Linked DNA regions of Schizosaccharomyces pombe. The gene in region 2 interacts genetically with the main gene of each other region. Each region holds a gene or a part of one and is shown on either strand. Other genes may lie near its edges.

Region 1 (4,401 bases), on a different chromosome or scaffold from region 2:
GTTGGTGGTCTTGGTCTTAATCTTACTGGTGCTGATACCGTTATTTTTGTTGAGCATGACTGGAATCCCATGCGAGATTTGCAGGCAATGGACAGAGCTCATCGTATTGGACAAAAAAAGGTGGTGAATGTGTATCGTTTAATCACTCGAGGATGTCTTGAGGAAAAAATAATGGGCCTTCAGAGGTTTAAAATGAACGTGGCATCAACGGTTGTTAATCAGCAAAATGCTGGTCTTTCTTCAATTGGAACCGATCAGATTTTAGACCTTTTTAACACTACTGCTGATGAACAACAAACTGTACAAAATATTGACAAAGAAGAATCGGAAGATGCGGCAGGTCGCGGTCTAAGTGGTACTTCTAAAAAGGCTCTTGAAGGGCTTCCAGAAATGTGGGATGAATCCCAATATGATGAATTTAATTTGGATGGTTTCATATCTACTTTACCCAAGGATGCTTCTTGAACAGGAGTTAGTATGGAACCCCCATAAAAAAAATTAATTATTAACTAATGTGAATGGTAATGCAATATGAAAGGTGTACAATAAAATAGGTTTTCTTTTAAGAAACTATGTTTAACTTATCTTTTGTAAGAGTGAGAGGTTTTTTTGATAATATGTAATAAATCTACTTTTTTGTACTTGTAAATATATAGCTACCATCTGCTGATTAGTTCAATCAAAAAAAAAAAAAAAAAAAAAAAAAAAAAAAAAAAAAAACCTTGCGGAGTAAATAACGTTTTTTATAAAATGTTTTATTATTGAATAGTTAAGGACAAGCACGCCATCATGTCAATTGAAGCCTTAAATGAAACTGTGAAAAGTTTGATTTCTATATTCTATTACGAATAAATTCTCGAAACAAATCAATCTCGACCTTAGTGAACGCACAGCTGTATATTAGTTAGTGACTATTAAGAGGTCAAAACCACAGACTTACAATACCGGGACTTGGGACGGGTTTATTCCATCTGGAATTGGACGGGAAAAAGATCGCAATTCTGTGCATAATATAGAGTTAATTCCAGTAACGCTAAGATGCTTTAACGTTTTACAGTTATACATCAAATAACTAACCGACTAATTTGGTTAGAAAAGATAGCATATTTTACATACCTTTGCGGTTAGTCCAATGCAATAAGAAAGATGTACTCGTTCAAGGTTTCTGGAAAAAGACCCACTTAGTAAGATTACAGAAAGGTCAGTAAGGCAAATGCATTTGACCAAACCTACTCTTTGAAGATATGGCAACTTAGCAATAGCACTTACTGCTATATCACTCAAACGAAGGCAACCACCGAAGTCAATGTAAGTTATATTTTTACATGACTTTAGAAGACATTGAACACCAATATCGGTTATCTCATAGCAATGTCCCAAATGAAGAGTCGTTAAAGATTGAGAAAGCTTTGTTAAGCTTAAAAGTGACGAATCAGTCAATCCAATGCATTTGGAAAGAAATAGAGAGTTTAATTTTGAGAACTTACAAGTTATCAATTCTATGTCACTGTCTTTCAAATCTGGTAAATTGTTAAGACTTAATGCCCTCATTGCATCTAATTCACAGTTTAAGTTTAAAAAAGTGATGAAATGTGACAATTCTGTGCAACCATCCATAGATAATTCTTTCAAACCTCGATTTCTGGAGACCAACCTAGACAGCGTATCCGCATTATGAAAGCCTTCACATCCACTAATATCTAATTCAATCAGGTCTTCTTTTTCAGAAAGTATTTGTAATGAGACGTCAGTCAGCTTTCGACAATTCGGTATAATGAGCCGATTTAAGTACGGACAACGTTTTATTATCTGAACCATACCGGTATCTTCTACTAACCCACAATTCCCAATATTCAAAGCTTTTAAATTAGGGCAATTATCAGAAATATATTCAAGTATATTCGCCGGTAAAGAGAAAATATTACTGAAGTTTATAGTAACCAAGTTCAAATTCTGATACAACAGTTTACCAATAAGAGGCTCGGAAATGCGAGTACATCCAGACAAATTCAGACGAGAAATCCCTGTTGCTAATGTCATTAACATTAAATGTTTATCGGTAAGAAATTTCCTAACACGAGAGCAATTCAGCTTGCGCAAATACCTGAAATAGTACGAAACATCCTTGGAGTATTGTAAAGTATCAAAAAAGTTATTTAATTGAGCTTCGTTTTGAAATACTACTTTTTCCCATAAAGTGGGTATAATAAAATTCCTCCATGAAGTACAAACTGTCGATTTGCACCTTAGCTCATCGGCTTCCAAATATGATAATATATTAAAACAAACTTCATTAGGCACCCGCATTGGTAAAGGTAAATTTTTTTTCTATAGGGAATAAATGAAAAATATGTGAGTTGGTAATAAAGCGTAAATTCTTAAAATGATAAATGGATGTAAACAAACAATTTTCATTTCAACTAAATTACGCAGCATAACGTACGCATGTTCCAAATTATCATAGTTAAATCCAGAGACAAACAAATTAATTGACATTAAGAAATCTCAAATACACGATAGATATACTCTAAACATTAAAATTCCGCACGCTTTAGCTTAGCGAACAAAAAAAATTAAAGCTTTATTTTTTTTGCTCTTTTTTAAAATAGACAATAAAGAAATCAATGTTCAACCGTTTTGCGAATAATTTATCAAACGCATTAAATATTACATGTCATAAAGCAAGTATTAATCATAAATTGGCAAGTTAGAGAACTATTCGTATTAGCGACCGCTTTTCTCTAAAATTTCCATATAGGACTTTCTCGTTTTGTCCTTAAGGCGCTTGTTTTTTGAACGAACTCGTTTTCGATCAGGTCGAACAACAATTACGGGAATGGGGCTTTTTTGTAAACAAAATTTGGAAACGCTTCCGCTAGAAAGAAGAGACTGAAAGCTATTTAAGGCTTTGCCACGAGTACCGACAATAAGACTATCAGGTGAATAAACGTGTATAGTACGAAGGATCATATCTTGAGGTTTACCAACCACGAGTTCAACTATTATAGAAACAGCTTTATCATCATCAACTTTCTTGAGTATGCCTGCCATGATATGTTCAGCTAAAGATCTGTAAGATTGTTCATCCGATAAATCCTCCGCTAGCTTGGAAGAAGGATCAATTACTCTTAATACTACTGCTTCATCGTTGTCGGCTAAAAGTGTTTCGAATAACCAATCGACTGCAACTTCAGAATACGAATTGCCATCCATGCCACACAAAAAAGTGCGAGACGTTCTTGTCCACTTGTAAGCTTGATGTTGTGTTTTCAGAGTCAGGGAAAAATCTGTAGCCGCTTTATTATTAAACGTATCGAACGAAATCCTTTTTAGAAAATGTGGACTCGGAGGTGGTGAAACAAGACTATGGGAACGTCCATGATGATATTCCTCAAATTGTGGAGGACAGAATCCAGCCGCCCGAGCAGGTGCCACTGTTACGGAATTTTTTGCAACAGGACGAAACGTTGGCTGTTCCATTGAGCTCCTGGCACTCCGAACCGGCGTAACAGGAGCAGAATGAGATGGTTTTTTAACATCGGTAGAAATGGATAACTTCTGCTGGTCTTTAGAAGTTCGTGGCTCAGGACGAGGGAGATTACCGAATGAAACTCCCTCCTTCGAACCAGCGGGTGCAGATTCACTCATCTAAACTTCTCACTTGATTAAATTTTGGGACTTTTAAACAATCAATTTCTCTGCACAATTTTGCAGACCCTGTACATGAAACAAGGTACTATATTCAACTCTAATTCGGAGTAAATGTTAAAAAATTGAAAGTGGTGCCTTAATTAAACTTGGGAAATTCGTTTATTATTTTCAAATGATATATTAGAAAACTTCTTTTTTCAAAACAAAATGCTTTTATTTGTATAAATATTTAAAAGTTACGATATTTCCTACAACGAAGAGTGAGCTGCCGGAAGTATGTATGTGGTGGACAAATAAGTGAAGTCATGTGTAACGGCCGCGTCAACCCTCCATTCTATTGTGCTAAGCTAATGCCCAAGATCTTAAAACTAACATTATGAGGAAACCAGTGGTGCTTGTTATACTAAATTTTAAACTGAATCAACGTAATTAAATTCTAGTTACTTGATTCTTTCGGTTACCAAATATGTAAGATATTTCCCAATTTATGGTTTGTAGCAGCTGATGAATGTGTATCGGTAATTAAGCTAAAACGTGAAAAAGGTGTTAATAAACATAGCCAGGTTTTTTGTGTAAGTTGTAAGCAATTATTTCTAATTGATAGATGGCTCTTCCTATAACTGCCTTTTCTAGTATTGCTCTGGCTCTGTGCACCGTCTATAATGCCACACAGTATTACCAAATTCCAAAACAATAAAAAAAAAACAATTTTTCAGTGAAAGCATACAATAGTCATGAACGAAATTGGGG
Region 2 (5,089 bases):
TATTTAATTGATTCTTTTATGATTTATGCAGCATCGTCGACAGCAGTTGCCTGTTGTGTTCGATCGATTGCTGCTTTTGCATTCCCTCTTTTTGGCCAGGACATGTATGATACCTTGGGATATGGATGGGGTAACTCTCTTTTGGCATTTATGTATGTTTTTTGATGGATCATCTCTCTTTTTATCAATTTTTACTAACAGTAGATAAAGTGTATTGGGATCCTCCATAATTACATGTTCTTTACTTTGGTTTGGTGGAAAACGGTTACGGGCATTATCTAGCATGGTCATTTTTAAAGACGATGTATAGGTAATCTTATTTATTTTACAGATATTTTGTAATAATACAATAATACAATTTAATAATGGTTGGAACACTATCAACTCTATTCAATAAAAAGTTAAAATAATGTCAAAAAAATTTGTATACGATTCAGTAAATACACATTTCTTCAAACGTTAAGCACTAAGCAAGAGAGCTATAATTTAATTTACAACGCAATGTGATACTTTTATATTGACTCAAAATGTTTGAAGCGTTTTTATTTTTTCGATGAATAAAAATAATACTCACATCTCGTTACTATGTACTACAAAGTTTTGTAAGAAAAGAGGCTTAATATTTATGGATGATGTTCGTTGTCACATAAAATTAGATTATTAAATTGAGCGTAAAGCTAAATAAGAAAAATGGTTTTATAAAAAAAAAAGTTGAAAAAGGGAAAAGGCAAAGCGAAAGGATGTCATATATGAAGTTTGCTCATTAGCTTAACAAATATACAAACCCGTGTATTAAAAAAAATATGGTGGTTCAAAAGACTTGATATGGTTTCCTTTGATTTAATCCCACTCTAAATTACGCTTCTTGAAAAATTCGAGTGTGGCATCTGGACCATGGTGGGAACCAAAAGCATAAGGAAGAGGTGACAAATCGCCTGTAGTGTCAAGGACATCATCAAAGATTTTCCAAGAGGTACGAACCTCATCATCACTAATAAAGTGTGTATGCTTTCCATTAATGGCATCGGCAATAACCACTTCATAGGCCTTATGGATCCATGTATCAGGGAAAGCTTCGGGATACTTAACGTCCAAAGTCACAGGAACAATTTGACGAGAGAAACCAGGTTGTTTAATGTGTCCCTTGAGGGCAATGAATTCCTTGGGATAAACACGAAGGACTAGAACATTGCTGCTATCAACGGTAGGGAACATACCTCCTTCCCTACGCTTAAAAGTGATACGAGCTTCAAAGTAATCGCGGTCCAAACCTTTACCGGCAGAAATGATGATGGGAATACCCTTCCAACGAGGTGCTTCAGAGCGAAGTTGAAGAGCACAGAATGTAGAAACTTCACTGTCATCAGCAACACCATCCAGTTCACGATAACCGGGGACCTTTCCATTTGCACTTTTAGTGTACTGTCCATAGACGATGTCCTCCTTGGAAACGGGATGAAGGGATTTCAAGAAGTCAACCTTGCATTTGATGATATCTTCGGCATCTTGAGACTTTGGCTCTTCGATGCAAAGTAAGGTAAGTAGTTGCAAAAGATGATTTTGAACGACATCGCGAAGGATACCAGCGCCCTCAAAATAACCTCCACGTCCCTCACAACCAAAGTCTTCACGAAAGTCGACACGAACACTTTCAATGTGTTCACGATTCCAGATGGGCTCGAACATGGAGTTTGCAAAGCGAATTGCAGTGAATCCATCAATCATATCCTCGCCAAGGAAATGGTCGACTTTGAAAGTATCCTTGGCAGACCAGTGCTTGCTGAGATCGCTGAGAATGGCATCGGCAGACTTGTAGTCGAAGCCGATGGGCTTCTCAACAATAAGACGAGTGACCATACCATTGGGATGAGCCTTACTCTTGATTAGCTCGGAAACGGGAGCAAAGAGATGAGGAGGCAGAACCAAGTAAAAGATACGTGTGCATTCGGAGGCGGGAGCAGTCTCCTTTTCAGCAATAATGCTGTTTAGCATCTCAAAAGACTCGGGCTTATCATAAGTACCGGGGACATACTTGTAATGCTCGACAAAGGTGTTTAAGGCCTTTTGAGAAGCACCGACAGTATCGTCAATGGGAATATGGGCGGTGACGATTTTGTTAGCGGCCTCTTGGGACAATTTGGAACGGGCATAGCCGATGATTTGAAAGTCCTCGGGAATAATTTTGCGGACGTAAAGGGCAAACAAGGCCGGGAAAGTCATTTTGGTAGCGAGATCGCCGGATGCACCGAAAACAATGATGGATAGCATTTTTGTTTAAAAAAGTTGGAAAGAAAGTGGAAAAAAAGTGTCTGAGACAAAAGGCGAGATTAGTAGTGAAAGTAAGATTGAAAATATTTTTTCTTTTGGGTGAAAGAAAAAAAAATTAAACAAATGAAATGATTTAAAGGAAATCCAATGAGATTTTTTCAAAAGGTCAATTTGCGATGATAGTTTAAATTCGAAGGAAATTGTCTTGTTATCTACGAGATAGATATACTAAATTGTGTTAGAAAAGAGCAAAGATAAAAGACAGAAAGAAAGAGAAAAGAAGAAAAGGAGAGAACAGGAGGGGGAGGAGAGGAGAAAAAGGTGATATTTCAGGTAATTATTATTGACAATTGAGTTGAATATCCTTTGATGATTCACTTTGCGTCTACCCTTAACTAGCACCATTACTCACTACCCACTACTCACTGCCCTGCCTTACCCTGCCCTTTTTTCAAAAATCCCCGGCCCAACAATAAGCGAAACGAAAAAATTCGCCAACCACCTACCTAAACTCCACACGACGAATCAAAAGCGAGTATGTTTTACAAACCAAGGTTGCTGGGGGTTCAGAAGAGGGACCATACTCTTGTATATATACAACTTGAAGCAATGCTCGTGACATCAGACACGATTGGAAAGACCTTAATGCATCTATCAACCTAACGTCTCCGCAAACATGGGACAAGGTGTAAACAAAACAAACCCAAGCCAAACTTCCTTTTAAGATGCGGGACTGCCCGGGGTGAGGCGGGGCGACAAGCTCTCGAACGTGTGGCCCAGGTATGACAAGGTGTGTGAGCAAACTTTAGACTTTAGTATTTAAGCTTTGCTGGTTACCACGCCCACAATTCCTACCGCTTCCAATGATGTGCATTGCACGATGCATGAAATGCTCTTTTACACTTTCGGCTCTACTACGTCAATGTAGCAGTAGCCTAGCCAACTGGGCAACTGAGAGTAAGGACCTTAGTGGCTAGTCAGACAGACCCCGGACCAAGGAGAGGGGAACCGAAACGCAGGTGCCAATGAATATGAGAGTTCGACGAAAAGGGGGTTACTCGGGTAATGCAAATCTTCAAAACATTCGATCATCCATCAATCAGCACTGAAGATTTTCCTCGCATAAGGTTTATGGGAAACGAGTAAAGTTTGAAGGGGGGAAGCGGGGGATCTCGGAAAAAGTAGGAATTAGAGTAGAAGCATGGCAGAGCAAGGCAGGCGGGCGCACAGCGTAGCGTTAAAAAAATAGCGCAGTAGGACCAAAGCACGTTACAGTTACGCTTGTTATAATTTACACAAGGAGGGATTTGCTGTGATATACTTTATTACACACTGATATAGGCAACATAAAACCATGTACATTAAAACTTGGGTAGTGTAAGAGATACAAAGGACTTTAATAAATTTACACTTCCATTTCGCATCTCTGTCATTGCACATCTAAGCCCGTTCTCAGAACCTGGAAATGCATTCCTCATATTCTTCCTACTAGATCCATTCTTTTTCTCAGTCTCCTTACCTTACGTATGCTTCTGGACATGTCTGGCAGAGGAATTTTGCCTTTGTATGAAGAGGGGGAGAGATCTCGGCAATAAGGAGATGGAGCATACCTCGTTAAAGGAAAATTAGGGCTTCGTTGTGGCTTCCCAAATGGTTGTCTTAGCAAAAGGAAAAAAAGGTCAGCTAGGGTAGAAGCCGAAGGGCACAAAGTTGGGGCAGGAAATCTAGAAGTTTGGAGTAAAAGGCGTTGTTTTGCTTATTAGCCAAAATTTACGAAATTGGAAATTAACAGAGCCTTCTTTTTTAACGTACGTTTTGCATATCCCTAAGTCAGTCTAGTAAAAGCATGTATTTACTGTTTTGCATGGCGTTCCTCTTCCATCCTCTTTTTTCTCTACTAAGCTTTTTCTCTTATCTCCCCTATTCCATCATAACGATAGTATTCGTATGTTAATGAGTTCGGTACATTTCGTTCGAGATGCGGTAACTGTACTGAAATGGACAGAGGAGCTAAAACAGTCTATGTACGTGAAATTTGTAAAGATAAATTTAGGCTTACAATTTTTGATATTGATGCAAATTATTCATTCCTGTCACCATGTTGTTTTCTTCCATGGGTTGTGAAGAAAACCCCTCCCTTGAATTCTTGGTCAAACACTTAGTGATCTCCTACTACTTTCCCCTAGTACCGCGGGGATATGGAATTTGGTGGTTGCTAAATACTGAAATGCATAATATTAAATAGTACGACGCCGGACGTACTCCTGATAACGAAGCGACACTTGCACGCACTATTCAGTTTCAAAAGTCGCAGTAAACGTCTATACTGATAAATGATGGGTTTGTTTCTCAAAAACGTTTAAGGAAAGCTAAGTTGGGGTGAATAAAAAAGGCAGTGACAGAATAAATGTGTCAGAAGCAATTCACTGCCTCGTTCAGTTTTTTCGTTCTTCTTTTTTTATGCCATTGTTTGAAGGAATTAGTTGGAAATTTGTTTGAACGATTTTATTATTTTGTTAAAAAGTCTTTAAAGCGATTGGAATTGGACTACAAAGTGAATATTCTTGATTTCGCTGTTTGGTTTGTCGCAATCATAGCAATTAATTCGCGCATGTATTTTATTAAATAAAGAATGATTTTATTATTATGAAGAATAATTACACTTCTTTGAAAAGTCCTCTAGATGAAGAAGATGAATTGAAGACAGATCATGAAATCGATTTGGAAAAAGGACCCCTCCCAGAATATGATTCAGAGGAGGAAAGTACATTGCCTCCATATTCAGGTAAGAATTGTAAATAATAAGAAAGGAATTACTCAA

The links.
Region 1: mutations in gcd1 (region 2) and pof2 together harm fitness more than expected from each alone (negative genetic interaction), as found in Schizosaccharomyces pombe (one large-scale study listed by BioGRID).

The regions. Positions count from the first base shown.
Region 1 is NC_003423.3:2,615,768-2,620,168, reverse strand, and holds pof2 (F-box protein Pof2), read right to left. Parts: upstream 2,308-4,401; coding exon 1,117-2,307; exon of another isoform or gene 1,081-1,116; coding exon 941-1,080; exon of another isoform or gene 894-940; coding exon 833-893; 3' UTR 693-832; downstream 1-692. Other genes in the region: TATA-binding protein-associated factor Mot1, read left to right, coding at 1-465; SPOM_SPBC25B2.10 (Usp (universal stress protein) family protein), read right to left, coding at 2,725-3,648. UniProt on the Schizosaccharomyces pombe protein: Involved in substrate recognition in ubiquitin-dependent degradation.
Region 2 is NC_003421.2:238,941-244,029, forward strand, and holds gcd1 (glucose-6-phosphate 1-dehydrogenase), read right to left. Parts: upstream 2,829-5,089; 5' UTR 2,775-2,828; intron 2,497-2,774; 5' UTR 2,269-2,496; coding exon 841-2,268; 3' UTR 523-840; downstream 1-522. Other genes in the region: SPOM_SPCC1529.01 (transporter), read left to right, coding at 1-152, 211-310; wtf antidote-like meiotic drive suppressor Wtf5, read left to right, coding at 4,915-5,053.